4 linked regions of the Struthio camelus genome follow. The protein of the gene in region 1 interacts with the protein of each later gene in a pairwise test. Links are inferred from orthologs where the notes say so. Each region holds a gene or a part of one and is shown in the gene's direction. Other genes may lie near its edges. The genes, in order: FLNA, MYOZ1, HSPB7 and CASR.

What was found.
Region 2: the proteins of FLNA (region 1) and MYOZ1 interact in binary tests that used the Homo sapiens proteins (3 or more experiments, as listed by UniProt). The link is inferred for Struthio camelus from reciprocal best matches to the Homo sapiens genes FLNA and MYOZ1.
Region 3: the proteins of FLNA (region 1) and HSPB7 interact in binary tests that used the Homo sapiens proteins (3 or more experiments, as listed by UniProt). The two-hybrid records come from large-scale screens. The link is inferred for Struthio camelus from reciprocal best matches to the Homo sapiens genes FLNA and HSPB7.
Region 4: the proteins of FLNA (region 1) and CASR interact in a two-hybrid assay, tested with the Homo sapiens proteins (2 studies listed by BioGRID). The link is inferred for Struthio camelus from reciprocal best matches to the Homo sapiens genes FLNA and CASR.

The regions. Positions count from the first base shown.
Region 1 is NC_090979.1:219,575-227,594, forward strand, and holds the start of FLNA (filamin-A), read left to right. Parts: upstream 1-4,928; 5' UTR 4,929-4,943; coding exon 4,944-5,328; intron 5,329-8,020. UniProt on the Homo sapiens protein: Promotes orthogonal branching of actin filaments and links actin filaments to membrane glycoproteins. Anchors various transmembrane proteins to the actin cytoskeleton and serves as a scaffold for a wide range of cytoplasmic signaling proteins.
Region 2 is NC_090948.1:24,694,169-24,701,489, reverse strand, and holds the start of MYOZ1 (myozenin-1), read left to right. Parts: upstream 1-4,315; 5' UTR 4,316-4,533; intron 4,534-6,631; 5' UTR 6,632-6,657; coding exon 6,658-6,733; intron 6,734-7,321. UniProt on the Homo sapiens protein: Myozenins may serve as intracellular binding proteins involved in linking Z-disk proteins such as alpha-actinin, gamma-filamin, TCAP/telethonin, LDB3/ZASP and localizing calcineurin signaling to the sarcomere.
Region 3 is NC_090962.1:13,660,019-13,667,448, forward strand, and holds the start of HSPB7 (heat shock protein beta-7), read left to right. Parts: upstream 1-4,356; 5' UTR 4,357-4,434; intron 4,435-5,285; 5' UTR 5,286-5,592; intron 5,593-6,152; exon of another isoform or gene 6,153-6,337; 5' UTR 6,338-6,352; coding exon 6,353-6,485; intron 6,486-6,703; coding exon 6,704-6,837; intron 6,838-6,989; coding exon 6,990-7,175; 3' UTR 7,176-7,430. Other genes in the region: chloride channel protein ClC-Kb-like, read right to left, coding at 434-541, 617-687, 766-899, 1,005-1,218, 1,320-1,430, 1,518-1,587, 1,692-1,859, 1,951-2,035 and 9 more.
Region 4 is NC_090942.1:91,231,007-91,238,678, reverse strand, and holds the start of CASR (extracellular calcium-sensing receptor), read left to right. Parts: upstream 1-4,519; 5' UTR 4,520-4,750; intron 4,751-7,672. UniProt on the Homo sapiens protein: G-protein-coupled receptor that senses changes in the extracellular concentration of calcium ions and plays a key role in maintaining calcium homeostasis.

The DNA.
Region 1 (8,020 bases):
CGTCGCTCGTCCGGGGGACCCAGGCGTCCGGGCGTGCTCCCGCCCTGCCCGCGGTCCCAGGCGTCCGGGCGGTTTCCGGGGCTCCCCACCCTGTTGGGGTTTATCACTTCCCCCTCGGCGGCGGGGTGGGGACGCGGCGCCTTCGACGCCCCGGCCCGGGGACCCAGGCGTCCGGGTCGGCGTCCCCTGCCCGCCCCGAGCGGGGCGCGGGCCCAGGCGTCCGGGCTCCGCTTCGCCCCCGCCGGAGACCCCCCTGCACCCCGACTGCTTTCTCTGGGGACCCAGGCGTCTGGGTGCCCCCCCCCCAACTCTGCCCGTGGCGGTGAGGAGGGACCCAGGCGTCCGGACTCCCCACCCCCACCCGGGCAGGGGACCCAGGCGTCCGGGCTGGTATTTCTCAATGACGTTCCAGCGCCCCCCCCACCCCGGATTCCTTCGGGGCTGAGATCATCGGGGCTGGGGCCGGCCCGGTCCCCAACCCCCCTGGGGCCCTAATGCCCCCCCCGGACGCCTGGGTCCCTCCTAAACCACCCCCAAATCCCATTTCCCCCCGGATCGCACCCGGGGGTGGGGGTACTCGTGAGCGAGGCTGCTACACGCGTGTGTGCGTGAAGAACAAGCAGGTGCAGCCTTGAGCACGCGTGTTCACATGTGTTGGTTGCACAGGGCCTGATGCAGGCAGGTAACAGGTTTGGGTTTGCACGCCCGGGAGTGACACGGATCCCGGGGTGGGGGTGTAACATGCGTGTTTGCACACCCGGGAGCGACACGGATCCCGGGGCCGGGGTGTAGCGTGTGCATGGCCACGCGTGTGAGCGGCCCGTGGCCATGGCGGGGGCAGCCGCGTGGTGCCGTGTGCGTGAGGAGCACACGCGTGTGCGAGGGCGCTGGAGTGAGCACGCACACGCGTGCATGTTGACACCGGTGCAAGGATGCACACGCGCGTGCGAGGGCTCGCGGCGCCGCAAACGAACCGCCACGGAGACCTGGTAACGAGCCCCCCCGCTAACGAGCCCCCGGCGCTATCGGGGCCCTCGGCCGGAGGAGCCGTTTCCGCCGCTGCCTCGTTTCCTGAGGGCCGGGGGGGCCCTGCCCCACAGCGCCCCATAGCCGCCTGCCTGCCCTCTGGCCGCCCTGCTGCCCCACAGCGCCTCGCGGGGCCTGTTCTGCCCCTTAGGTTGCTCCCCTGCCCCATAGCCCCCCTCCCACTCCATAGCTGTTCCCCTGGGGTCCCCCCATGCCCCATAGCACCCCACAGGCCTTCAGCTGCCCCATAGGGCCCGCTCAGCCCCCCTCCTGCCCCATAGCATCCCCCGTCACCCTCTCCTGCCCCATAGCCCCCTGTGGGATCCCCTCCTGCCCTGTCCTGCCCCAGGGGAGCCCTGCTGCCCTATAGAGCCCCATAGCATCGCCCCCATCACGCTGCAGCCCCCCTAGCCCCCTTCTGCCCCATAGTGCCCCATAGCCCTCTTCCGCTCCATATCACCCCATAGCTGTGTCCTGCCCCACAGCCCTGCCATATACCCTACCTGCCCCATAGCATCCCCCATGGCCCCTTGCTGCCCTACAGCCCCTCCATAACCCCCACCTGCCCCACAGCTCTTCTCTTGCCCCATAGCAGCCCCATAGCCCCCTCCTGCCCCATATAATCCCCATAGTGCCTTCCTGCCCCATAGCATCCCCCATAGCTGCCCTTCTGCCCCAAAGCTGCCCCATAGCCCCCTTCTGTCCTGCATCCCCCCCAGCAACCTCCAGCCCCATAGCAGCCCCATAGCCCTCTCTTGCCCCATAGTACCCCCATAGTGCCCTGCTGCCCCATAGCATCCCCATAGCCCCCTACCTGCCCGATAGTAACCCCAAATCCCCTTCCTGCCCCATATAATCCCCTATAGGCCCCTCCTGCCCCATAGCCTCCCCACTGTCCCCCTCCTGCCCCACCGCCCCTCCTGCCCCACAGCATCCTCACAGTCCCTCTTGCCCCCCCCCCCCGCTGTCCCCACGGCCCCTCCTGCCCCACGGCCCTCCCGCCCCACAGCCCCCCCCCCGCCGCCCCCGGCCCCTCTCCCCCCGCCGCCCCCCCGCGGCCGGGGCGGGGCTCCGCGCGCCCGTTACCAATTAAGGCGCCGCGCGCGCCGCGCGCCCCCCCGGCAACCGCCACCCGCGCGCGGCGGCCGCGCTCCGCCACAGCCGCCGCCGCCGCTCCCCCGGCTCCGGCTCCCCCCGCCCTCCCGCTCCGGCTCCGGCACCGGCTCCGGCTCCGGCTCCGGCTCCGGCGGCTTCACCTCCGCGGGCGGCAGCGGCGCCCGGTCCGGTGAGCGCGGGGCTGCGGGCTGGGGGGGCTGCGGCGGCGCTGGGGACCCCCGTCTTTGGGGTGCCCGGGGGGGGGACCCCGTTGGGGGGGTGTCGTGAGGGGATCTTCCCCGGGGGGGGTCTGGGGACCCCTTTTGGGGAGGGTGTCATTGGGGGGGACCCTTATTGGGGGGTGTTGTGAGGAGATTTTCTCCTCGGGGGGGTCTGGGGACCCCTTTTGGGGGGGTGTCATTGGGGGGGACCCATTTCGGGGGGTGTTGTGAGGGGATTTTCTCCTCGGGAGGGTCTGGGGACCCCCTTTGTGGGGGTGTCATTGGGGGGGACCCTTATTGGGGGTGTCCTGAGGGGATTTTCTCCTCGGGGGGGGTCTGGGGACCCTCCTGGGGGGGTGCTGTGAGGGGATTTTCCCCGGGGGGGGTCTGGGGACCCTCCTGGGGCCCCCGTCTTTGGGGGTGCAGTGGGGAGGACCCACACTTGAGGGGCTGGGGACCCCCCCGGGGGTCTGGGACCCCCCAGGAGCGCTCGTTTTGGGGGTGCCGTGGGGGGGGGGGATACCCTGGTCTGGGCAGCGGCTGCGTCTAGAGCCCTGCTGGGGCGTGAGGGGGCACGATGGGGTGCGGCGAGGGGGCTGCGGGGCAGTTTGGGGAGCCCCCCGCCGCAGGGGTGACGGGGCCGAGGGGGACGGTTTTCAGTGTGACGGAGCAGTTAGGGTGTGACGGGGGATGGCTGTCAGCGTGCTGGGGGTGTGACAGGGGTGGCTCCTGGTGTGATGGAGCGTGTTAGGGTGTGACGGGGAGGACTGTCAGTGTGGTGGGGGTGTGACGGGGTGGCTCCTGGTGTGATGGAGCGTGTTAGAGTGTGACGGGATGGCTGTCAGTGTGGTGGGGGTGTGACAGGGGTGGCTCCTGGTGTGATGGAGCGTGTTAGGGTGTGACGGGGAGGACTGTCAGTGTGGTGGGGGTGTGACAGGGGTGGCACCTGGTGTGATGGAGCATGTTAGGGTGTGACGGGGAGGACTGTCAGTGTGGTGGGGGTGTGACAGGGGTGGCTCCTGGTGTGATGGAGCGTGTTAGGGTGTGACGGGGATGGCTGTCAGTGTGGTGGGGGTGTGACAGGGGTGGCTCCTGGTGTGATGGAGCGTGTTAGGGTGTGACGGGGGATGGCTGTCAGTGTGGTGGGGGTGTGACAGGGGTGGCTCCTGGTGTGATGGAGCGTGTTAGGGTGTGACGGGGGATGGCTGTCAGCGTGGTGGGGGTGTGACAGGGGTGGCTCCTGGTGTGATGGAGCATGTTAGAGTGTGACGGGGATGGCTGTCAGTGTGGTGGGGGTGTGACAGGGGTGGCTCCTGGTGTGATGGAGCGTGTTAGGGTGTGACGGGGGATGGCTGTCAGTGTGGTGGGGGTGTGACAGGGGTGGCTCCTGGTGTGATGGAGCGTGTTAGGGTGTGACGGGATGGCTGTCAGTGTGGTGGGGGTGTGACAGGGGCGGCTCCCGGTGTGAAGGAGCGTGTTAGGGTGTGAGGAGGAAGGTTGTCAGTGTGGTGGGGGTGTGACAGGGGTGGCTCCTGGTGTGACGGAGCGTGTTAGGGTGTGACGGGATGGCTGTCAGTGTGGTGGGGGTGTGACAGGGGTGGCTCCTGGTGTGATGGAGTGTGTTAGGGTGTGACGGGATGGCTGTCAGTGTGGTGGGGGTGTGACAGGGGTGGCTCCTGGTGTGATGGAGCGTGTTAGGGTGTGACGGGGGATGGCTGTCAGTGTGGTGGGGGTGTGACAGGGACGGCTCCTGGTGTGACGGAGCGTGTTAGGGTGTGACGGGGATGGCTGTCAGTGTGGTGGGGGTGTGACAGGGACGGCTCCTGGTGTGACGCAGCATGTTAGGGTGTGATGATGCAGTTTTTGGCTTGACGGGGTGTGACGGGGGCGGCTCCCGGTGTGACAGGGCAATTCCTGGCATGACGGGGTGTGACGGGGATAGCTCCTGGTGTGATGCAGCATGTGAGGGTGTGATGGGGGCGGTTCCTGGTGTGACGGGGTGTGATGGGGCGGTTCCTGGCTTGATGGGGTGTGACGGGACAGCTCCTGGTGTGACGGGGCGTGTTAGGGTGTGACGGGGCAGCGTCAAGGTGTGACGGAGGAGCGCTAAGGAGGCTCTGAGGACGCGTGTGGGGCTGGGAGGGTCCGAGGCGTTCGGGGCGCCCCCATGCCGGGGGGCGTGACCCCCCACCCCCCACGGGGCACCGTCCCGCCGGGGTGACTCAGCGCGAGGACCCAGGCGTCCGGGCTGTGGGGGAAGGGATCCCACCCCCCCTCGCGGTTTTGGGCCTGACTCAGCATCCGTCTGGCGCTTCCCCGGACACCCGAGGCCTCGGCACCGCCGGGGCTGGGGGGTGTGCAGGGGGGTCCCCAAATGGGGGGGCATCGGGGAGGGTCCCAACCGGGGAGCGCGGGGGGGCCCAGACTGGGGGGGGGGCGTCGAGGCGGGTGGGGGCTGGCGGGGTGCCCCCGGGGCCCCTCGCTCACTCCCTCCCCGTTCCCCCCAGGTCGGCGGCCCCTTTAAGCCGCCGCCCCCCCCTCGGCGCGCAGGCGCGGCAGCCGCGGGGGGCGTCGCCCCCCCGCCCCCGCCCCCTTAAAGCCATGAGCGCGGCGGGGCGCGCGCGCGCGGAGGAGGCGGTGTCACGCGCGGACGGGTCGCGCGCGGAGCCAAACCGCGCGGCGGCGGACGGCGAGATGCCGGCCACCGAGAAGGACCTGGCGGAGGACGCGCCCTGGAAGCGGATCCAGCAGAACACCTTCACCCGCTGGTGCAACGAGCACCTCAAGTGCGTGCACAAGCGCGTGGGCAACCTGCAGACCGACCTGGGCGACGGGCTGCGCCTCATCGCCCTGCTGGAGGTGCTCAGCCAGAAGAAGATGGGCCGCAAGTACAACGCGCGGCCCACCTTCCGCCAGATGCAGCTGGAGAACGTCTCCGTGGCCCTCGAGTTCCTCGAGCGGGAGAACATCAAGCTGGTCTCCATCGGTGAGGCCGCGGGGGACCCCCGGGACCCCCCAGCGGGACGCGGTTGGGACCGGTGCACCCCAATGCCTGCACTGATAAGGGGGGGCCCATAAGACCTGCCCCAGTGAGATCTCCTTTCGGGAGAACCCCCCAGTGGGGGCCTATGTGAGACCCCCCTTCCCCTTTCGGGAGCCGCCCCCCTGTGGCAGCCCCCTTCCCCTCATGCCCCCCCTTTTGGGAGCGTTTCTCCCTTCTCTGGGAGCCCCCACTTGAGATCCCCCCCGATAGGGCCCCGTGCGAGACCTGCCTCCTGAGTCCCCCCTCTTGAGGCCCCCTTTAGGATCCCGCCTTTGGCACCCCCCCCTTTGGGAGCCCCCTCCACGGGCCCCCTCTGGGCCCATCCCTGCCCCTGTTTGGGTGCCCCCTGAATGGGCCTCGCTTTGGGCTCCCCCCTTAGAGACCCCCAGGACCCTCTGTTTGACCTCCCCAGTAGCCCCCCTTCTGGCTCCCCCCTTAACAGGGACCCCCGCCCGCCCCCCTCCCCCGCACCGGGCCCTCTCCCCGGCCCCCCTCGGCCCCATAACAAAGGCGGGGAGGGGGGGCTGGGCCCGCTCCCATCCCAGGAATGTGGGGGGGGGGGTGCCGCTCGGACGCCTGGGTCCCTCAGTCCTGCTGGGGGGGGTGGGGCCCTGGCAGAGGGGTTCCCGGACGCCTCGGTCCTTCGGCCCTTTTCGCGGGGCCGAGGGAGATGTGGGGCTCGGGTGGGGGGTCGGGGGTCCCCGGACGCCTGGGTCCCTCGGCCCTGCGGTTCCCCACATCCTGCGCCCAGAGGAAGGCTGAGATTTGTGGGCGGCTCCGGGGCCCCACCCTGCCCGGGGGGGCAGCGGGGCCCTAGACACCCCCCCGGGGCCCAAACATCCCCCCGGGGCCCACATTCCTCTGGGTGGGGCTGGGGGTTACTCACCCCCCGTGACTCATCCCGGCCTCGATGCCAGGAAACGGCGGGGGGGGGAACTGTCGGGCCCTATGGGTGCGGGGGGGGGGGCGGGCTGTGGGGCTGCAAGGCTGCTTGTGGACTCTAGGGGAGCCCTATAGGGCTGCGGGGGACCTTGTGGGCTGCAGGGGGGCCCTATGGCTGCAGGGGGGCCCTGGAGGGCTGCAGGGGAGCCCTATGGGGCTGCAGGGCTCCCTTATAGGTGCAGGGGGGCCCTGTGGGGTGCAGGGGGCCTTGTCAGGCTGCAGGGTGCAGAGAAGTCGCTATAGGGCTGTGGGGGGGCCTATAGGATGCAGGGGCATCTCTGCAGGGCTGTGGGGGCTGCTCTGCAGGCTCCATAAGGCCATGGGGGTCCCTATAGAGCCATAGGGTGCAGGGGGAAGAGGGGGCCTCTGCAGGACCCTATGGGGTGCAGGAGAGCCCTATAGGGTGCAGGGGGCCCTATAGGAGGGTGCAGGAGAATGTGTATAGGACTGTATGAGGGCTGTGGGATGCCGAGTGTCCCGGGGGGTCTCTATAGGGCCATGGGGTGCAGAGGGGTCTCTGTAGGGCTGTGAGGTGCCCCTATAGGGCCATGGGGTGCAGAGGGGTCCCTATAAGGCTATAAGATGCAGAGAGATCCCTATAGGGCTGTGGGGGGGGGTCTCTATAGGGCTGTGGGGTGCAGAGAGGTCCCTATGGGGCTATGGGATGCAGAGAAGTCTCTATAGGGCTGTGAGGTGCAGAGGGGTCCCTATAGGGCTGTGGGGGGTCTCTATAGGGCTGTGAGATGCAGAGAGGTCCCTATAGGGCTGGGGGGGGGGGTCTCTATAGGGCTGCGAGATGCAGAGAGGTCCCTATAGGGCTGTGGGGGATCTCTATAGGGCTGTGGGATGCAGAGAGGTCCCTATAGGGCTGTGGGGGGTCTCTATAGGGCTGAGATGCAGAGAGGTCCCTATAGGGCTATAAGATGCAGATAGGTCCCTACAGGGCTGCAGGGGGTCCCTATAGGGCCGTGGGGCGCTGGGGTGTCTGTAGGGCTGGGGGGGCGGGGGGTCCCCGGGGGTCCCGAGTGGGGCGGGGGGCGGGGGCGGGGCCGCCGGGCGGGGGCGGGGCCGTGGGGCGGGGGCGGGGCCTCGCTGGCGCCCGAGCCCATATAAGGCCAAAAAATGCTGGAGCGTCGGGCGGGGCCGGGGGGCGGGGCTGGGGCCACCGTGGGGAGGGGCGGCCCGGGGCTGCCTGCTCGACCCCGCCCCCTCCCCGCCCCCCGCCGCTTTTGGAGGGGGGCGGCGGTGTCCACTCCCCCTCCCCCTGCCCAGCACCTCCCACCCCCCCTCCCACGGGGGAGGGGACCCAGGCGTCCGGGCTGCCTCCCCCCAACCCCCTGCCGGGGCCCCAGGCGTTCCCCCCCCCACACACACACACTCCCCGTCCTGTCCCCCTCCCTGCTGCCCTGTGTGTCCCCGTCCCCCTCTGCCGCTGCGCTGTGTCCCCAAGCCCGCCTGGCTGAGGCCACTGTGTGTCTGTGTCCCTGCACCCGTGGTGGTGCCACCGTGTCCCCAGCAATGCCGTGTCCCTGTTCTGCGTCCCCACACCCTGTGCCCGTGGTGGCACCGTGTCCCCAGCGATGCCGTGTCCCTGGTTTGCGTCCCCGCACCCTGCGTCCTGACAGGGCCATGTCCCTGGAGATGCCGTGTCCCTGTTCTGCGTCCCCACACCCTGCGCCCGTGGTGGCACCGT
Region 2 (7,321 bases), on another chromosome or scaffold:
GCTACGCAGAAGGGTAGGGGAGAACTTGAACTCCACGGCGCTACCCAGCGAGTAGTTTAAAATCAGAAAATGGTAAGGTGCCCAGTGAAGGTATCTACCTCCAAGCAACCTTACCCTAAAGAAGTGTCTAGCAGAGTGCAAAGCAGGGCTAGTAGTATATGGCATGTGTAAAGAAAAAGGATATTCCCGGGCAGTACAGACCTGTAACTTCAATGGCCACTAGGTGTTGCCACTGTTCTTCTCTGTTATCTGGAGTTTCACCATTCACTTGGTGTGGAGTGAAGTCTGGAGAGTTTAAAACCTTAGGAAATCTTCCCCTCCTAATCTATCCTCTTTCGGCGTTCACATATCGCATTGCTCAGCACCACATTCTGGAGGAGAAAGGCAACTCCATACCGGGGAGTTTTGGCAGTGGGAGGTTTGCAGCAGCTTGGAGGGGATTCCTGGGTGGTGGAGTGTGGGGCATGCAGGCAAAGAGGCCGTCCAGTGAGGAACATGCCTGAGGCACACCAGCTGTTTCAACATCTGCCCCCCCCCAGCTCTGTGATCAAATCCTACACGTTTCTGCCCAAGCCCTACATCTCACTGTGCATTAAGCGCCCTTAGCAGCAGGGGAGAGCCTGGTGTTAACTGTCTACTTCTCCCCTTGTGTCGCTACAACAAATTACTGACAAATCTTCTTCATGTCTTCGTAAAGGTGGAAGAAATTAAAACATATATGAACTATTTCAAAATAATAAAGCCCTTCTAGCATCTTCCCCTCCTTTTTTCTCCCCCTCCCCACTCTCTTCCTGAGGGGGAAAAAAGCCAAAGCAGGAGTTTTGCAACTTTTTTTCAGAACAGATCCAATTGGTGTGGAGATCTGCAGCCTGTGAATACTTTCAGCTTGTGCTAGTCCTGGGCTCCAGGGAAAACAGGGAACAGGGTCAAGGTTTAACTCTGTACCTTTGGAAAATGAAATTATTTGCCAGACTGACTCTGTTTGCCTGATTTTCACGTGATCAAAGAGTGCTCAGGAAACACCCATACTGAGGACTCCCTGTCTTAGCTACTATTTATGTCCACCCAGCACTGTGTGACAAGACAGATCTCATCTGCTGCTCTTAAAATGATTTTGGAAACATCAATTATTTGAAATTGTATATTTTGAATTGAAATTAGGTGCCCTGAGAGTCAGGAAAAAAATTGTGAAAACACAGGTCAGAGAAAGCAAAGCTTTGTGCAGGCTGTTCCTAAGGCCATTTAAGTGAAGGGTATATTTGGAAAGAGGAAGGTTGGCACAGTGAGATAGAGTTCCTTGTATGATTAAACCTCCTCCCTGAAGTGCTGAAATGTCCTGCAGGCAGCACATGTACTATCCTTGCTGACCTAAGTGGGAACTCCATGTACTCAAGCATGGATTGAATTTAGCCCTTAAAATCTCACTAGAGTCCAGGAAGGAAAAAAAAAAAAAAAAGAAAGGGCAGCTCAACAAGCCAGGCTTGTAATGATTTCAAACCCTGAGTAGCATGAGTGGGTGCGATAATAGTAAGAGCCCTCCATTACCTCTTTTCCATGCTGATTTCATCCTACTACAGAAGGCAGAGACATCAAATGGGAACAATATTCCCAGTGGTAAAAGCCATTGAGCTGCTAAGCCTGGCATTGTGGCAGGATATTTATAAATGAAATCAGTCTTTCTCTGCTAGACACACAAGCGACATTTCTAGATTATTGAACTGCACTTTTCTATCTCTCAGGAGAAACCGCCCATAGAGAGGAGAAAGGAGCAGGATTTAGTTCTTAAACAGGCAACTGAAAATGGAGACATCATTTTGTTTGAAGATAGAGAAGGAGGTGAAAGTCTCACCAGGACACCCAGGTCCTTCTCTGCAGAGCTGCTTTCCAGCAGGTCAGCCCCCAGCCTGTCCTGGTGCACAGGGTTATTCCTCCCTAGGTGCAAGACTCTGCACTTGCCTTTGTTGAACTTCATGAGGTTCCTCTCCGCCCAACTCTCCAGCCTGCCCAGGTCTCTCTGCATGGCAGCACAGCCCTTGGGTGTATCAGCCACTCCTCCCAGTTTAGTATCATCAGCAAACTTGCTGAGGGTGCACTCTGTCCCTTCATCCAGACCATCAATGCAGCTCACCCTGTGTATGGATATATGCACATGCAGATAGAAATAACCTCGAGGATCAGGGTTGCAAGGACAGAATGGGATTTCACATAGCACAGAATGAGAGCTACATATCACCTTTCAAATTGGAGCTGGCCACAGTTTCTCCAGGGATCAGAGCCTGACAACAGCCACAGGCACAACAACAACACTGAAAAGCCAGGACAACGGACTGGCCTAGACCTTGTATTTTGCTACTGCAGTTTCTGAGGAATCCAATGACTGGCCTAGGGACCTAAATGCTATCCATCAGCATCTAAGCAATAAAAGTCTCCTCGCTCGATCTTTTCCGCCTCAATCTCCTGTTCCTGAGCTCTGGATAAAGACTTTGCCCTGTGGTCTCTACTCCCAGTTTCTTCTTTCCTCTCCCTGCTCAGCCTGGCTCTTGCTTCCAGTTCCTCACCACCCTGTCCGCCTCTCACTCAAGACCTTGACTTGGCATACAAGGGGAGTACCTCATTAGGAGAGCATCACGGGGTATGAACAGCATCCCAAAGAGCACCACTGGATTTCCAAAGCAGGCACTGGTCACCTTGAGCAAATACCCAGCATGGTCCTCAATCACCCCAAGAGAAATAAATGTGGTGAAAAAATATTCCTTGGCCTGCAGTGAGGAGGATTTGGCCAACACTGAGAGCTTATTCTTCTGTGACCACCTGCACTTGCGCAGAGTGCGTGTGAAGTGCGGACAGATGATCAGCTGCGATGGTATTTGACACCCACCAGTTTTGTGCAGATGTAAATGCCCTCACCAGGCGTGAGGCTCTGTGATGGTGCCCACCGCGGAGAGTAGGTATTTACAGTTCAGTTGTGCCATCCCCCACACCTGTTTTACACTGGCACAGCTCCATGGGGCTACTCCCAGATTACCAGCTTCCAGCAAATTGCTACAGTGGTAGGAAGAGGGGAGAATAAGGGCTATGCCATAGGCACAATGTAATGTATATGCAGTGACCATGTGGATGGAAGCAAGAAGGAAACAGGAAACTTGAGGCCAGGAGATTGCCATACATTCCCTAGCTCCAAGTCACAGGGATAAAAGATGATTATTATCCATAGCTCTCCACCTCCTATCCACAGCTACAGGTTATAGCACTCTTATAAAGGACTATCCAAACAGCACTGGGGGGGTTAATGCCTTGTGATTGCAACGCACCAGTCAGACTGGGAAGTTTTATACTCTGCTGGTGCAGGCAAACACAACTGTGCAAAGTATACGAGAAAGGGAAAGTGACTGTTTCCCGATGATCCTTTATATCAAGTGTACTTGCAAGCCTCTGTGCAGATGATTCTCTGCTACAATCACAGCTTTGTTTTTTTTCCCACTAGACTCTATGTTTACTCAGTAGACAGCTTGGTTGGGCTCTGATGTGAAATAGGAAAGGACATGATTCTCTGTAGGATTCCTGCTGTATGTAGAAGCTTAAAAGTTTGTGCATCTTAGAGTATTTCAGTAAAATGAGTTAACTTTCCTTCCTCCTAGAAGCAGAACCCAGTTTGGTACGGGGAGAAAAACAGGTAGCGTCGCTTCAGAATGAGCAGTGGCTAAAGTAGAGGAATCATTTACACGCACAAAGCTACACTAAATGCAGTCAATCAACCCTATTTCTGCCATGAATCAGGAAATGAGTCTCCTTGCTGCTTGATTCTGTTGGGTTTCTTACCCACATTACACAGCTACTTCCTATAACTCTGTAAATGTGTTTTTCCTACTAGTTCTTGTTTCATGGGTGTGATTATTTTTATTCTGTGCTCTCTGACGTATTTTTTGAATCCCTGGCATTTTAGGAATTAATATGAGAGCTTGGAGGAAGTTGGGTTGAATGATGGAGTGAGGAGGAGGCGGAGGGAGGGTGTAGAAAAGAGCAAGACCTGAGAGAGTTCTTGAGGCATTACTGAGAAATAGGAGATTGAGGAGGTATTACTGAAGTGCAATAGGAGGAGGGAGAGGAACGGCAAGTTGATTGGAACAGAAGGGAAGGAGCAATGCACTTATGCAGAAAAGGGTGCCCAGTCTTCCTGGGAACGGAGGCGGTGACTGCAGGAGGCCTGAGGTGCAACCTTTTCCTCTCCCCTTTCCTCCGGGCTGGTGGTGGTGCTATCTGAGACCCTGCTCTCTGGGCTGTCAGCTATTAATAACTGCAGGATGCCTGTGCGAGCAGCCTTCAGGAGTCAAATTCACAGCACTCCACATCAGCACTTTGCGCCGGGCAGAGCCTGCCTGCACCCCGGCACCCTGGGTGAGCGGGGCTGCTGGACAAGCCTCCCCGCAGCGCCCAAAGGTGGGCTGGGAGGACGCTGCCCACACACTGCCAGCCTGCTGCCGAGCCCTGGGGCAGGCGCGTGAGCTGGTCTGAGCCTGGCACTACAAGCCTAAGGTAAGCTGACCTGGCAGCAAAACAGTTTGGAGCAGGGGCTGAAGAGGGTAAAGATTGGTTTGGTTTGCAGCAAAGCCAACGAAATGACTGCTGCAAAGACTGAAGCAGAAAAAGACAGAGGAATTACACCAAGGGATAGAGCTGATGGGAGAAAAGGGGAATTGTGGTCCTGGTCCTATGCACGAGAGAGTGGGGAGCAAGGGGACTGAGGCTCCAGCAGCCTCGCTGCTGTGGGGTGACAGATCGAACAGCGGTCCAACCGTGGCTCTGAGCCCCATCCATAGTGAAAGGCTGCTGCCCCACTCCTTATGCTAGACTGATTACGTGTGCTCCCTGATCCTGCTGGAGCAGCAAAGGACAGCAGAGCGGGACAAACCCGCCCTCGCTGCTCCTTGGGAATGAGCGTGCTGGAGGGGCACAGCTCCCTAACTGGGCCAGCCCGCCCTGCCTGCCCCAGGGAGTCCATGTCTGGGGGCGCAGACGTTTTCCCTCCATCTGCCACTCTTATGACCCATCAAATGAGCCATAAACTCCCTGAAACTCCTTCCCCCCATGTCTCCTGGCAGCATTGCCCTTTTCCTGTCAAGCAGGGCCTGCTTCTTTTATATAGCCAAGCAGATGTCCGGCTGCTCGAGGAGAATGCATGGCGTGTGCTTTATGGCTGCACCTGCTCACACTTGCTTTGGGAATACACCAGGATGAGCTCTTTTATGATGTGAACCACATAGGCAGCATCTCAATAAAAAATCAAACTTGGAAATCAGAAAGAAAGTCTTATCCAAGAGAATATCTGCCAATGTAATTGGGTCTGGTTTCATCTGGCCAGGCTGCTTTCAGCAGCTGTCACCATCTCTCAAAATCATGTTCTAAAAGGAGCAATGGTGGAAGAAAACTGTAGAATATTTGGAAAATAAAAACGTCTTGATCACAACAAGGGCAGCGTACACAGTCCTAGAGCCAGTTTGCCTGCTAGTTTTAAAAAATAACTCACAGCTAATAACATCTGTTTTGAAGCTCTGAGCAACTAAAGGTGTAAAGAGGCACAGCGACAGAGATGGTTAGTTACTCTCTGCTATTGCTGAACCCAATGGAAGTTTGGTCATTTATTAGGTGAGGATCTGTCTCCTTACATACTGTCATTTGGCAAGGACAGTGCAAAAATGAAGACATCAGCCCGACTTGCATTATGTGTGATAACCCCCAAGAAGGACTACGAGAACCTGCCCGAAGTAAAATTGCTGGGATTTCTCCTAACTTTTCCCAACTTAGCAGTACAGGTCTCTCATCCTACCTGGGGATAGAGATGGGAAACAGTGTAAGAGAAGAAATCTCCCTCTTCCTCTCCTTCTCCCTCCAAAATGACATGCAATAGGATGAATACATAAAATGCAGGTGTAAGTGACTTCAAACAACTTGCACCAACAACTCTAACAGGCCTGTGCCTTCTTCCTCCAGCCCTTTGTAATATATCATCAACAGTCATAAAAGAGAATGACATAGGGTTTTGTTTTTTGCATAACTTGCAGTCTGATAGGTTTCTGAGAAGCAATTCCAGTTCTAACAGAACTATCCAAATATCCAAACCAAGTATGGACATTATTCAAAATGTTCCCACATAGCTCGTGGGCAGACCCAACATCTTTATGTAAGAATATGTATTACTACCTAACGATATCCAAATGGCATTACAATGATGTTAAGTCATGACCGAGGAATTTTTCAAACTGACATTCTGCACTGCAGCACAACATGACAACATAGTACCATCATGGCATACACAGGTGCCGGGAGGCTGCAGTGCTGCAATTATACTGTCTATTCTGGGTGGCAACGCTATGTGGTAGTGAAGCAATGCTTCTTCTGTAATCTGTTACCATATTTTGTGCCTTAACACGAAGTCTCCACAGAGCCCCACAACGGCCTAATGCTGATATTCTGTCTGAGATGATACTGTTTACTAGCTCCTTTATGTGAGAGAGATGGAAAAGAATCTGCATGTGAAATGAAGATCCTGTGTCTCTTAACTGTAGAGGGAAACTAAAAGAGGGGCAAGAGACCTTTCCAGTGTTTCATTCTCCATTTCCTTCTGTGTGTTTAGAGCAAAGCAGAGAACCCTTTGTGGGAATGCCCCTAGCAGGGACTCCTGCTCCTGTTAAAAGAAAAAAGTCCACTAAACTCATTGGGAAGCTGACACACGAAGGTAAGATATGTAAACTGCATATATGAGAACTGTTTGGATTTCAACCTGAATTTCAGCCTTTAAAATCTCACACCCTATCCAGCTGAGCTCCCAGAGAAAGGTATGCAGTGAACACACCAGGAGGCAGGGCCACCATTGCAAAAGCTCAGCCTCTAACGACATCATATGTCATAATTTTCTTTTCAAAAGTGTTGCATACACACTCAAGTCAAATTCTAGTCTGGATTACACTTTCTAAACCCACTGTCTCCTGTGGCATTAATCTGGATGCATACCAGTGTGAATGGAAAGATAATACGATAATTTATAGATATCAATATTGCTGCGTCTAGTTATGCTCTGTGCTGATCTTTTCTCTCATCACCTTTGTCCTTCATTTGGTTTTCCTCTGTGTGAGAGCATTCCTTTGATTCCAGCACTCACTAGTGGGAAAAGTCAAATTTTCTCAGTGGGGCTAATACAGCAGGAGGGATGTAACATGGGACCCTTTTCCTTCTACAGAGTACATGCATATAGGGTGAGCTTTAATCAGCCGTGACAGCCTCATCTTCTCCCTTTGACAGCATGGCACATACTTGCAGCAATTTT
Region 3 (7,430 bases), on another chromosome or scaffold:
CATGGATGGAAGGATGGACAGGTGCATGGACAGATGGGTGCATGGACAGATGGATGGAGAGGTGCATGGATGGAAGGATGGACAGGTGCATGGACAGATGGGTGCATGGACAGATGGATGGAGAGGTGCATGGCAGACAGATGGACAGGTGAGTGGATGGATGGGGGCATGGATGGATGGACAGACAGGTGCATGGACAGATGGGTGCATAGATGGACAGATGCATGGATGGATGAGTGCATGGACAGATGGATGGATGGGTGCATGGATGGATGGATGGACAGATGCACGGATGGATGAGTGCATGGACAGACGGATGGATGGGTGCATGGATGGACAGATGCATGGCCGGATGGGTGCATGGCTGGACGGATGGATGGATGGGACCACATGTCCCATTTCCCCCCTCTCCCCCTTTTGCCGGAGCCGGTACCTGGTGCAGCGAGGTCCAGGGCGAGAGCTGGAGCGTGATGGGCTCAATGGCGCAGTCGTCCCCCACCGTGCCTGCGGGCTGCCAGGGCGTGATGACACCCAGATGACGCTGGGGGAAAAAAACAAACAAACAAAAAAAAACCCACACCCCGGGTTTTGGGCTCTCCCCCCCGGCCCGACTCACCTCGTCGCCGGAGCGCTGCAGGAAGGCCACCAGCTCGGCGCGCCGCACCGTGCCCACCAGCGTGGGCGACGCTGCGGGGCGAAGGCGGAGGTGAGGACGGGTGGCGGGGGGACCCTCCAGGAGCCACCGCTACCGCCGTCGCAGGCTACCTGTGCTCTCCACCACGGGGTACTCGGCATCGCTGGCGGCCGTGACGGCGGCCAGGACCTCGGCGAAGCCGGCCGCCTTGGCCAGGGACAGCACGCGGCGGTTCATGAACGTCTCCGTGAGCACCCGGTAGGAGCTGCGGGGGAAAAAAAAAGCTCAGAAAAGGCCCGAAGCACAAACCCCGCTGAAAACAAACGCAATAAAATAAGACGCCCGTGCCGGCGGCGTCGGGGAGCCTCACGCCGAGTGGCGGCCGCGGATGGGCGGCAGGTAGGGCAGCTGCTTGACGATGACGGTGCCGTCGTAGAAGGAGGGCTGCCACTTCTGGGCCAGGCTGTTGGCCACCAGCACGGCCAGGGTGACGGGCAGCGCGTGGGCCAGGTGGCCCGTGGCCTCGCACACCAGCAGCGCCGTGGAGATGGAGTGGGTGACGCAGCCTGAGAACGCCGCCGCCCCTGCCGCAGAGACCCGGCCGGCTCGTTGCACGGATGCCAGCAACTTTTTTTTTTTTTTTGCAATTTTTTTCTTTTTTTCCCCCCTTCCTTTTCCTACCTACCGGCCAGCGCGTAGCCGCCGGGGATGACGGGGTGAACGCCGCCCTGGGCGCTCAGGCCCCGGGGGAAGAGCGCGGCCACCGTCTCACCCGCCAAGCGGCCCACGGCGGCTCCTGCAAGGAGGTGGTGGCGGCGGGGGGCTGAGCCAGGGGCCACCCGGGCGCCCTGCCGGGCAGCGGGGCCGCCCGCCGTGCGCTCACCATACACGAAGATGGGCATGAAGTAGCCGGCGGGCAGCGGCAAGGTGGTGGCCAGGATCAGCATCCAGAACTGGGCGGACGGGGACGGGGAAGGGACGAGTTAAGGGCGAGCGGGGAGACCCCAGGCACCTCGCCGGGGCGGCCCCCGGGCGCCGTGGCTGGCCAAGGCGCTACCTTCATGAGCAGGAAGAAGGCCAAGGTGCCGAAGAGGGTGACGGAGGGGTGGCACCACTCCTGCCACAGGCGCTGGGGCTCGGCGGCGTCGGGCGGCGAGGCGTTTCGGGCCAGGTCGCCCCAGGTGCGGTTGTCGAAGAGGGAGACGAGGTACTCCTTCATGGTCAGCTGGGACGGACGGACGGACAGGCGGCTGGAGGGACGGAGGGACGGGCCGAGCCCCGCCGCCTTGGCCGGCCGCCGCCATCCCCGGGCTTACCCTGGATGCCATGAACTGCCCCAAGCTGGGCGGGAAGGTGATGGAGGCGAGCAGGAGGACCACCAGCACCGTGTAGACGGGCTTGCTGCGGGGCCAGAGGACGCACGGCTGCGTCTCCTCCGCGCCGCCCAGTCCAGCCCATTCCAGCCCAGTTTGCCCCCCCCGTGCCTACTCCGTGGCCAGCAGCTTGGCCGTGAGCCTGTTCTCCTTGACGTAGCCCAGCAGCCAGCGCTGGCAGAAGAGGTAGGCGCAGCCGATGACCCCACAGACGCCCCTGCCAAAAAGAGAGGCAGGTGAACGGCCCCGAAAACGCACGTCCCTGCCACCCCCCTCCCCGGGGAAAAACAACAAAAACAAGCATTTCCCATGCCCGGCCAGCCCTCCTTACCCCAGGGCGATGAAGAAGAAGGTCTCGGGGAGATCGAAGGGGAAATCGATCTTGAGGTCGGTCTTAAAGAGGGCGACGATGGTGTCTGGCAGGAGGAAGGAGCCCAAGGAGGGGGTCTGGAGGCGTCCGGTGGGATGGGCGCACGGCCGGGGCCGCCGTTCCCACGCTCCTGCAACTGTTCCCGCACCCTCACCACCGCCGTTCCCACGCTCCTCCCGACCCCCCCAGCCCGGTCACCTTGCTCGCTGTTGAAGACAGCGAGGAGGCGAAACATGAAGGCGCCGCAGGTGGCGGCGAAAAAGCCCCTCCAGTAATCCCGCACGGCGAAGTGGGTCGACATCACCTCGATGCTGAAGAGCACCCCTGGCCACCGGCGAGAAAATCCCGTCAGTGCCGTCGCCGCCACCCCGAGCACGGGACGCGGGGCGCTTCGCTCTCACCACTGATGGGCGCCCCGAAAACCGTGGCCACCCCGACAGCCTGGGCCGCCACCAGCATCTCATTCTGCTTGAACTTGTCCTGCGGAGGAGTTGGCAGGTCGGCATAACCCAAATTCAGGCCAGGACAGCGGCGGGGGGGAGCCAGCAGCCTCACCTCGTACTCCTTGGTCACCGACGTCCGCATCTTGCCCAGGTACACCGCGACCATGGCGGAGAGGTGGACGAAGGGACCCTAGGGACGACGGCGCTGAGCGGCCCCCACCAGGGCAGGTCCCCGGAGCGTGGGGCAGGGGCCGGGGCCAGGAGCGAAGCCGGGTTCGCCGCCCGGTGCGCGGCTGCTCACCACTTTGCCCAGGAAAAGGGTGCTGCCGCAGGCCAGGGTGCAGGTGAGCCCCACCACCTTGGCGCCAAAGTTCTTGATGGCCAGGTAGTCCTCCAGCATGACCCCCGTGAGGATGGTCTTGAGCTCGGGGATGCCAGAGCCTGGGGAAAACAGAAAAAAACAACAGATGGGAGGGCTGCAGTGTCCTCTCCCCCCAAGCATCTCCCCACTGTTTTGGGGAGCCATTGCAGCTCCAGCGCCGGTGAAGCAGAAGGTGCCGCGGCCGGCGCTCACCTCCCGAGTGCGGCGTGATGCTTTGCGAGAAGCCGGTGGAGAAGGCTGCCAGGGCCACCGGGTACATGGTCCACGAGAGGTATTTGAGCACTAAATAGTCTCCGACCTCTTGGTAAAGCCAGCGGTGAGCTAGAAGAGACGCGCCGGGAGGGGAAGGGGAAGGAGCCGCGGGGGGGGGGGGGGGGGGGGAGATGTCTCCTTGCCCTGCCATGGAGGTTCTCCAGCATCCCTTTCCCCCACCATCCCACCACCAAACCTGGGGAGACAGCCACATTTTCCCACCAGGATCAAGCCCAGGGTGCCCTGAGGGTGCTGGGACCCTGACGGCACCGGTCCAGTGCCCACCACCCTTCTCCGGGGCGGCCGGCATTACCCTCGTAGAGCCTGGAGACGATGAAGTCCATCATGAAGCTGATCATGGCCATGATGACGCCCAGGACGAAGAGGAAGTACCAGTCCTCGCCGACGCGAAAGAGCTGCCTTTGCACGAGCTCCAGGCACCCTGCAGGACAGGGGGGGTCACTAGCCAGCCAAGGGCACCCCAGGGGCGCCCGCGTCGGCTGCGGCACCCACCAGGCTGGGTCTCACCTCGGAGCCTCCTCCGGGCTTCGGGGCAGGGCCGCCAGCTTTTCTCCGACACCAGCACCCTCTCTGCCACCTCCTCTTCCTCCCACAGCCCCCCTGCGCTGTCACCGTCCGTGGCCTCCATCCCCGGCTTGGCAGGAGCGGAGGGGCAGATATCCGGGTGCCCCATGCTATAAACCCCCGCCTTGGCCGGGACTTGCCTTGCCGGGGCTGCAGCCACCTCCGCTGCCAGGCTCTCTGCTGCGCACCCACCCCAGCCCTGCCCGAGCCGCAAACTCATTAAAAACGACCTTGACGAGTCGGCCTGAGCTGCACGGGCCGGAGCCAGCCGGAGCGTGCAGGGGAGGGTTTTTCCCGTGCCACCGGCCCTCCTCACCTGCGCCGGCCGCGGCGATGGGCTGGCAGCCACCACCCCCATCCTCCGAAGGGGTGCCAGGGACGGAAATCACCATGGGGTGGGTTAGTTATTTATTTATGAGGGATACAGCCCCTTCCTCGCCTCGGCGGCACCGAGACGCTTGGGCGAGCCAGCCCAAAAGCATCCACGGGCAGCCGTCGGGGCGGGAGGCCAGGAAGCGGAGGGGACGGGGCCGCAGCGGGCGAAGGGTGACTCAGGCGCCGGCTGCAATTACTCAGCATCGGGTTTTAAGCTCGCCTGACATCCCTCCTCCCTGCCTTCGGGGCCCGGCTGCCGGCCGGCAGAGGCTGCCCGGGGCAGCGCCTGGCCGGGCCGTGCGCCAGCCCGCCGCGCCGCAGCCTGGCCCGTCGGCCGCATTTTTTGGCAGGGCCACCCGGCAGGTCGGCGGCCCGGGGAATAAAGCCTTACATGGTGTGCTCCCTGCCTGGCTCAGCCGAGCTGCTTGCCTTCCCCGGCCCCCAGCACCACCCGCAACCTCAGCCCCTCGCTCCCAGCCCGCAATCTCAGCCCCTCACTCGGTGTTCCCGCGCCACCTGGACGGGAAACGGCCTCGCGGGATCGAGTCCGGGTGGGCAGGGCGACCAGCGCCGCATCAGGGACCGACAGCTGCGCTTTCCCGGCCGTGCGTGGCTCCCGGGGCCGGGGACGCCGCGACCTTCGCCAGGTGATGAACAGCAGCCCCCGGGGACCTGGCGGCTAGTGGGTTATGGGATTTCTCCCCCCCCTCGCCTTCACCCCACCGACACGAGCGCACAAAGGGTGCTGCCGGCGCCACACGCTTGGACCCGTGCCAGCCCTCCACCCTGTGTCCTCGCAAGGACACCTCCGACTTTTAATAACTCACTTGATGCCTTTTATTTATTTATTTTATTATTGTTGTTGTTGTAGTAAACCTCGCATGACCTTCACGGTTGCTTGACGGGCTGCAAGCAGCAGCCGCGGCTCCGGAGCCTGGCAGCATCCAGGGGCTGCCCAGAGCCTTTCGGCCCCGCCGAGGGCATCGCCCGGGTGGGATGTGCCCTTGGGACCGATCCCACAGGTGTCAGTGGGAGATTTAGCACTGATTCAGCAAGCAGAGGTTTGGCCTGGTGAAAGAGCCAGGCTCTGAGACGGTCCAGTCTGAGACCCTGCCTGTGAAACCTGCTCACCAAACCGTCCCCGATTGCTGCTGCATCCCGGCTGTTGCTGCGTGCAGGTAGTGAAAACCCCTTTTTCCAGGGTTTTTGCAGTGGTTTTAGCACCGCTAAGCCAAAGCAGCCACGCGAACGCCCCACGCACACGTGCCTCCTGCAAGGCGGCCACCTCTGGGCTGCAGCCTCTGGACTTTTTGCCCAGATAAACCTGCCTCCGGGGCAGCCCCAAAACCTCCCCACACTTCCCTGAAACCCAAGCCAGACCAGGAGGGAGAAGCGAGTGTGGGAAATGCTTTGCCAGCCTCTCCGGCAGCCCCTTCCCCATCCCCAGCAAGTCGCATCCCTCAGCTTTTTCCTTTGCCGGCACCTTGCACTCTCTTCCCCATCTTCCTTTTTTTGGGAAGCCGGTCCCCAGGGCCACCGGGAGCTGCATTATCCAGGCGGGCAGGAACGCCAGCAATGGGATCAGATTCCTCCCTTCGCTGCTTGTTTGCAGACGGGATCGGGAGGAGAGGAGGCGGGGGGGGAGAGGAAAATTTCCACACTCTCCGGAGTGATGTAGCAGGACCTAAATTTAGCCTGTTTTACAAGAGGTCTGGAAGGCAGCCGAGAGCCTAACAGGGCTTTATAAGCTCAGCAGCCGCCTCTGAACTCAACGGCTCCGTCTGCAAATCTTGCCCGTTCGCATCTCGGAGCCGTGTTTCCCCTCCGGGCATTGTGAGGCTTTCCGGGGCAGCACCTCTGGGGTTGCACTTGCTGCTTTTGCTTCTCTTTCTCCGCTGTTTTGCTCCCCGCTTTCCCCACAAGCGCTTGCGGCGGTGGATGAACTTGAAGTCCTCCTCGGCTTTCCGCTCAGAGAGCAGCTTCCATCAGAGCCCGTCACCGTCTCCCGCCCGCCCCATGGAGCTTTTCGGGACCTTCGTGCGGCCCCGCACGGAGCCGCTGGGCTTCCCAGGCAAGCGGGGCTCCGCGGAGGCGGCGGGGAGGGGGGGAGCCGGGACGAGAGCGGCGCCGGCCACGTGGGTGCCAGCCTGGGAAAAGGCCCTGGGAAAGGGCGATGCTTCCCGAACCGCGTCCGCCTGTGCCGTGGCATGTAGGGGAGCAGAGGGGGGAGGCGGAAAGACCGGGCTCTCAACCGCCGCGGAGGTCTCGAGCGCCTCTCCTCTCCCGCAGCTCGGCCCGGCAGCGCGGGCAACATCAAGACCTTGGGCAACACCTACCAGTTCACGGTGGACGTCAGTGACTTCGCCCCTGAGGACATCATCGTCACCACCTCCAACAACCAGATTGAGGTGCACGCCGAGAAGGTGAAGGCTCCCCTCCTTCCTTGGCCTCCTCGTGCCGGCCCCGGGGCCACCCCTAAACCAGGACCCTGGGCTGGCTTGTTCCCAGGACGAGGAACGGCAAGTCCCCAGCCCACCGGCATCCGCCTCAAATCTGTTTTCCCTTCCCTTTGCAGCTGGCCGGCGACGGCACCGTCATGAACACCTTCACCCACAAATGCCAGCTGCCCGATGACGTGGACCCCACGTCCGTGTCCTCCTCGCTGGCAGACGACGGCACGCTGACCATCCGGGCCCGGCGGCAGCCCGCCAAACACACCGAGCACGTCCAGCAGACCTTCCGGACTGAGATCAAAATCTGAGCGGCTGGCGTGCGCGGCGGGGGATTTTGGGGAGGGAAACGGGCCGGATCACACCAGAAAGGCTTAATTCCCCCGAGCCGCCCTGGCCTGGCATCGCTCTAGATGTAGACGCAGGAGCACAGCCGTCCCTTGTAGATGATGTTTGGGTAGCGTTTGGGCTAACACGGGTATTTATTTAGCTGCGTGAGCTCAGGGGAGGAGGTCCCAGGACAGGATCGCGCCTCCGCTCCTGGCAGAACCAGCCAGCATCCTAGG
Region 4 (7,672 bases), on another chromosome or scaffold:
CCAAAAGTGAGGAACGTTCTGAGGTAGAGGAAGCAGGGAACGTGCCTTGCCTTTGGTACTCAGCTTATCCTATAGAAAAAAAACTCAGTCTTCCAGGTTGTCAGTCTTCAGGGTGCTATCCTCAAACTATCAGTCTAGCTTTTTTTTATTAGCACTAAAGAATAGTTGAAGAAGTTGAGTTAGATGTCATTGTTTTTCCTATCATACTTCCGTGAACTTGTGCAACAGAAAAAAGAACAGAGAGTCTGTGTTCAGTCTTTATCTGCATAATTCTCTTCAGTGCACCAGATTCTGGTAACAAGGCTCAGCCATAGGTAACCAGGCTGAAATCTGGGATCCAGCTTCCCAGGCAACTCACTCAAGCCAGTTATATCCACATCCTCCAGAGCATGCCTCTGAACTGCATCCTCAGCAACCTTTGTACGGATGAACTTCAAGCTCTCTCGTTATCCCATATGACTTTGCACTTTGCCCTCTAGCCTTCACCTCTTGTTCCTACCCCGTCTTCTTCCTCAAACAGATACACACCCTCCATAAGGGACACAGATAAGCTGGAAGAGGCCAACATTCAGGAGCAGCAAGCCTGCCCTTGTGCCACTTCACCCTCCTGGCTAGGACCAGGTGAATCAGGCAGCTCTGCAAACCCTATTGGAAGGCTGCTTGTTTCCTGCACTCGGGAGCTGCAAGACTTCTGGTTGTGAGCTCACCTACATATTTGTCCAGATCTTGCTAGTCAGAGATAAAGTTGTATCTGTCCTCTTAACCCTCTGCAGAGTTTCCAGAAGAATATGCTTCTGTGGCTCCATTTTTGGGATTGCTTTGCCCTCCACACCTAGTGTAACCAACAGTGGAGGAACAAAATGTCCATATGCAAAGAGCAGCCTTCAATGCTCTGCCTTAAAAGCTGACGCTCTGTTCACATCAACACATGACCTCACTGCTCCCAAAGCCTGTGGGAGACTCCATCACCCCAAGACATCTGCACATCCTCAACTCTGGCTACTCAGTAGGAAATCAGCTTATAGTGTAGAAAGTTGTCCTCAGAGCCAATGTACTAAGGCTGTGCAACACCATCTGACACAGATGCTGTCCCTGGCTGGGGGCCATCAGAGGTATCATCAAAAGAATCAGCAGCTGAGCTTAACTTGTCCAGCTGTGCCCAAAAGGGCAGTTTATGAGACCTTATTTGCCACAATGCTGGGCAATAAGATGCACTACATGAATAAATCAGCACCTAGGTACAGCTCACTACACATGCCACTCCATTCCAAAATCACCTCCAGCAGTCCTCCCCAGCAGTTGCCCATCTCTCTTCCAACCACTTTTTGCCTCTGAGTTGCTAACATGCCTGGGAAACCAGTGACATACACCTGGGAAGCAGACTACCCCTGCAATCAAACAAAACCCTTATACGAGGGAAGTAGCTGTTTCTGGTGGTCCCTCTGTCCTTCTGAGTTCTCTCCTTCTTCTGTGAAAGACTCCTTGTTGCTCCCTGAAGAATCTCCCCACTGACACCAAAGTGTCTTTCCACCACAAGGGACCTGCTGCAACTTGACAGAATTGCTGACCAAGGACATAGCACAAGCAGAGCCTGGAGGAAAGCGTACCATAAATATCAGCAGGTTTAACAAAGGAAAATATTTGCTCGACCAGGTAAAGACGATCATGATCATGGCCCAAAACCAGACAAGGCAAGTATGACACATAAAACAACAGGCTGATCCCTGTGAGCACTGAGCAGTGACAACATGGCAGCAGTGCCAGTTCAGCTAGTGAGTACTGTCCTGCACCAGAACATATCAACAAAGAGAATCTAAATGAGTGAGAGCTCTTGGCCTTTAAATACAACACCAACATAGAAATGCAGATAGGCTGGTCATTCTCTTTGATCAACGAAAGAGCTCCTGCTTGTGTCTCAAGCCATATAAATGGAGACTGAGGACATGCTGGACAACACCATTTGAATCTCCCATGATACTGATGCTGAAAGATGTGACAGTTTAGGTATTCTGATACCTGTTCTGATGCCATCAAGGCATTCAGACAAGGGATTGCTTGGTTTTCTGGGACATTTTGCAGGTAAACCTGTGGACTCTCTTTCCCTCTTCACTGAGACCCTACCTTCATCTGACCCAATGCCATGGGATCTTTCTCTGTGTAGGGAGAGAGAGACTTCATACCGTGATAGGGGCAGCAGCACATGTCGGCCCTGGGAGAACTGGTCCCCTGTCCTCCTTCCCATACAACTCTTAAGCCTGGAATCTCTGACCCCATACATCCCTCCCGCAGTCCCCTCCCAGGTATCACACATCCTCAATGACTTCAGCATGGGTCAGGTGTGGCAGAGGCGCCCCCAGCGGTTCTCCGATCCCATCCCTGTGAGGGCTTGCTTTGCCCCCCCCCCATCCTCCATAGGAGGTTGCTTGGACATTTAAGAGACTTCTGCCTTTTCTTGGCCTGGCAGTCTCAAGAGAAGTCTCGGCAGCTGCAGGTGGCAGCTCTTGCATTGGCTGAGATCTAAAGTCAAAGCTTCCTCAAGAGCTGTCTGCTTTTAGGTCCTGACATTGTGTCACAGGAACTCACAGTGGGGTTTCCAGAAAATCTTGGTCTGAGGCTGTCTGTCCACCAGCTCTTTAAACTCTCAGTCTTCTGGGTTTCGCAGTTCACTGTGGAAATCCTTCATAGTCTAGCATCGAGCTTGCAACCAAACTGTCCATAACTAGGAACAAACTGCCTTGAACAAGGCCTGTGCCATTTGTATGCATACTTTGCACAGGTTCAGGCCCTACTCCAGGCATAACTTCATCCCCAGAGAGCATCAGGGAAAAAGCAAGGGTCTTAGGCAGTAAGGCTGATGGGGAGGCCTAGGTATGAGTTCAAGTTTTGGCCATATCTACAGTCAGATGTTTTCTTAAAACAACCACCTTTCCCTTCCCCTTCAGTTTCTACAAACCAGACAAAACCCTTAAAAGAGTTTATTCCTCTTGCCATGCTATGGCATCATCCTAAAAAACTTGAGTCCACCTCACAAAGAAACCTCTATGGTTTCTCAAAACAAGAGTTTATTTTGATGTGGGATTCTAAATGTTAATTCTACACTATTCACTGCTACAGGGAAGCACTGGGTCTGCTTGGGCCCCAATAGTGAATTCTCTGAATTTGTAAACCTTTTTTCTGGAAACATCTTCAATGAAGGATGGCTAAGAACTAAGGAGGATATTCATTCAGCTTTGCAGTCAGTTATTCTCTCTGTCTGGAAAGTATTTGTGGTCAATTCAGTTTGATTATGCAATTATACCATAATAACTATCATAAGGATGATGATTTAGTTCTTGAAAAATATTGTACTGCAAAAGAAGTGAAAAAATTAACACAATTATTTATGAAAATTAACTACATTCCAGTTCACCAAAGGCTTTTTGAGGGCTTAGGTGACTTTAAGTCCATTGGCAGCTCTGCAGTATGCGGACTAGTCATGTACTAAAGTAAGGACTTGTGAATCTCTTTCAGAATAAACAGTCTCTGTCATCTCTCCAGGGTGAAAAATAAAATACACTTTTAATATATTTTAAGTGTTACTCTCACCAGTACATTGCAACTCCAGCAACATTGTGGTTTTGCTATTGTTTTGGGAAAACAAAAACTAAACTATCAGGACAGATCCAGACCACTAGGTTTGGGCTGCAAAATGGTACCAGAGCCAGAATCTGAGTCTAGAGCTATGTCTATCTTTTTTTCCTAAAAAGCATATTATAAGGTTAAGAGATTTCAAACAAAAACTGTAAAATGATCCAATGGTAAAATGGTCCCGTCTCTGGACATGAAAAATAGTGTAATGTTAGCACTAGTAAATAACAACGCAAAAAATACCTCTTTCTCTGCATTTCAATTCTTAGGATGCAAATAAACTGTCGGTGTGGGTGAATATAGCAAATCTGAAGCTGAATGTATACACACAACCGTGCAGCAGTTCAACTGTGCAGACAGAGCTGAGGATTTTCTGCTCCAGGGATTGGGTTCAGGTAACAGGGAGGGATAGGAAACAGCTGGAGTTTTTCACTGTGAAATGAAACAAGACCCCATTTTTCCCTTCTGGAAAATGGAGCTAATGATACTTCCCTTCCCCACAGGGATGCCCTACTGCAGGGTTAGGAACTCAGCTGCCCGCTCGTCGGGCGCCGTTGCAAGGGGATTGCAGGAGCCATGTAGCGCACGCACAGCGGCGCGCACCCCAGAGCCGTACGCGGGACACTCACGTTTTGGGAAGCGCGGCGTAGCCCGGCTGCCAAAACGTGTCTGCAGACGCGCGGAGGTATCTGGTCTCGCTACCCTTCCCCAGCGGCGCGCGCGATGCCCTGAGCGGGACGCCGTGCCCGGCAGCAGCCGGGGCGCGGGCCGCTCCCGCGCCCGCAGCGCGGGGCTGCCCCGGCGGCGGCGGCGGCGGCAGCGCGGAGCTGCGCGGTGCGCGCCCGGGCGGGTCCCCGCGGGCGCCGCCGCCCCCGCCCCGCCTGCGCGGCCCGTGGGAGCCGGCCCGGGTGCCGGAGGCGGCGGCCAGGGCTGGGACGGGGCCCTGGCCAGGGGTTTCTCTCTCCCCCCCATCCCCTCCTCCCCTCGCCGCCGGTTCCCGTGAGGCTGCAAGTGCGGCGGCGGCAGCTGGGGGGCCGGCGGGGGATGCTGCCGCCGCCCTGCCCAGAGCCGGAGTGAGGGCAGGAGCTGGCGGCGGCAGGAGCAGCCCCAGCGGCGGGACGAGGTGAGCGGGGCGCGGGCCCGCGGGCAGGTGGGTGCGCGCCCGGGAAAGGGCCGGGGCGGGCAGCGCAGCCCCCGGGGCCAGCCCGCCCGGGCTGGGGGCGCGGGGGCAGCCAGCGTCCGCGCCGGCAGGAGAGAGCCCGCAGAGCAGCGCCGGGCTCGGCTTTGGGGGCGCAGAGACCTGGAGGAGCGGCGAGGCGAGGCGGGCTAGGGGGCAAGGCGAGGGTGAGCCAGGGGCATTTCAGGCTGAGCCCAGCCGGCCGTGCCAAATGCAGACGTAATTGCACGGAGGGACCCCTCCGCCTCCCCTCCCCAAATCTGGGGCAGGCGGGCTTCTGGTACATGTCGGATCAGACCAAAAGGAGAAATTTCCGTACGGCTCAGAGGTATTTTCTCTGGCTGAAGTTATCTAGAAATAATATTGAGGCGAAGAACAGTTAATCATAACAAAACTTTAAAGAGCAAGAGGTTGTTTGACTGAAATCACACGTGCTGAAAAAAGAAATCTCCTCAAACAGCCCGATAGAAAACAGCTAATAACAGTATCCTACATGCCCGTTTATAAGGGGTGACAGTCTTGTTTTGGGAGCTCCTGACACTCCTCAAAACAAATGTCACCGCAACTCTGAAGAGATGGTGTAAAAACTAACGAATCTTTCCTTAAGAGCTTCGCTTGCATTTCAGGTACAGGATATGATCTTTAGAATTACTTTGCTATGTTTCATCTTTTGAAGTGTCTCCCCCTTTTCTGATGTTTTTACAACTTGAAACGGACGGTCCATTATACACAGACCTGCTGCTCACTCTCGGGCTCTGCCCTCTAGACCAGCCTGTGTGCCTTACTGTGCAGCTCCCTGCTTGAACACCCGGGAGTGGATTCAGTGGGGTAGGAGCAATAATGAGCCAGTAGCCCTACATCTCCCAGCGATGCCCAGATGATGCTCCTGTTCAGTGATGTAAATTGGGGGCAGAGTGTCTTTGCAGCTGCATTTTTCCCTCATTTCCCCTTTGTGGGTAGTGTCTCTATGACAGTCAGGACTTTGTTGCCTCCTACTGGAGTTTCACCACCTGGTGTAAATGTAAAGAGGATGAGCTGGGAGGGGCAAGGTCAGGGGAGTATCGAGGCGTTGCTAAAGGCTAATTCCCAGGCAGTGTAGCGTCCCTCCAAGTGTTTATGCTAATTATGGAAATTAGAGCCCTTCCTTCCTATTCTTGATTTAGGCTGGGAAGGGGCAACCATGGACTCTTTTCCCTTTCTGTCCCACCCCTCTCACCTAACCAAGCAGCAGAACTACCTCCTTTTCTTAATGAGAAGGGCAAGCTCCAGCCCTGAGGACAAGATCCAGTCCTGTTCCCAGTGAATTCACCGGGATTTGGTCATTGACCTCAGTATTGTGAAGTCTGGGTCCGTACACCTCTTCTAATTGTGAAAGTGGGAAAAATATGATTAGGGTAATTTTTAGCAGTATTTTTGCTGAGGTTTTACTGAGGCTTACTGAGTGGTGGTGAAAGGAGCTGATGGCTGTTCAGATGAAACACTATTTCAATAACTAGTTGATATGTAATTAATATGATTAAAGTTGTTGAAAAGCAAATAGATTAGGGCAGGTTGGTGGCAAGAAGACATACAGAGCATCCTCTAAGTTCTCTCTTTCATTCTAGGGCATGACATGGCTGATGTTTGGGGTCATCTATAAAATTATTAGGGTGGTCCCAACTCAGTGCCCACGTGTGCACAGGATCTTATCACAGTATTAGACACCAAACCATCCTGCCCATAATCTCTCGGAGAGGCTGATAAATGAATAGGGTGGCATCCAGGCAAAATTCTGATATCGTTCTCAAAGTAGCAAGAGAGAAATTGTTAGAGCAGGGTGCACAGTTACCTTCCATGCTAAAACTTACAGCTCAGTGGAAGAATTCAGAATCCAAGTCTGTCAGTCTGACACTCTTTGCACCATTCTCAAACCTCAGTACTTTATTGATACTTGACTGATTTGTTAGAATTATCTTCTGAAATACAAGCAAAAATGTGAAGTGAGACAGTAGGGGTTTTCTGAGAAAATGACAGAGTAGGTTGCTTTCGAGTAAGCTCCCCTTCCATCTGCATGTGTCCTGTTGGCTGCAAACAACCCCTTCTGCATAAGCTGATAGTCACTTTCTCAGTCACTTATTAACTGCAAGAGCGAGGAATGCTTTACCTGCACTCATTTGTGCCAAGGATTGTAAGAACATTATTGACACTCCAATAGATTGAGGAAGGCATTGACAAAGGTGGTAGCTTTAGTACTAAAATCTTCTCTCCTAATGTATCGGGGCTAATTCTTGGTTGGCTGAGAAAGTTAGGATAACTGAATTGTTCAACCTGTGAAATATGAGAGACTGTAATCTCTTCAGGTATATGTGAAATGTAAGTGAAAGAGTGAATGCAACATGATCTAGCAACTTAATTCACAAGACGACAATTCCAGAACCTGCTCTGGGCTTGGACACTGACCTTGGACAAACCATTTCCTTCCAGTTTCCTGTTTCAAAAGTGAGGATAAGGACAGTACTTCACAGAGTCTTGTTAGAAATGTCTTGTTTAGAGACAGGGGTTCCTAAAGCACATTGGAATTTCCATGCAAAATAGTCTGTACAATTGTAAAGTATTGTTACCATAAGGGGACAAGCAAAGCAGAGGGGTTCAGAGCTTTCTGATCCTTCTTCCCACCGTTATCGAGGAGGGTTCAATTGACTGCTGTGGTGCATAGGGACCAATGACCCCTTCTCCATTCTGCAGTTTTCAGGGGGAACCTTACAACTAGATCCCCTGTATGCAAAACTCCTGCTATCCTCTGTCTAACTTTACAGATCTAAATCTAGTTTGCACCTGGAGGTAGAACTTCATGCTATTTAACTTCAGATAATTTCTAACCATTAATAG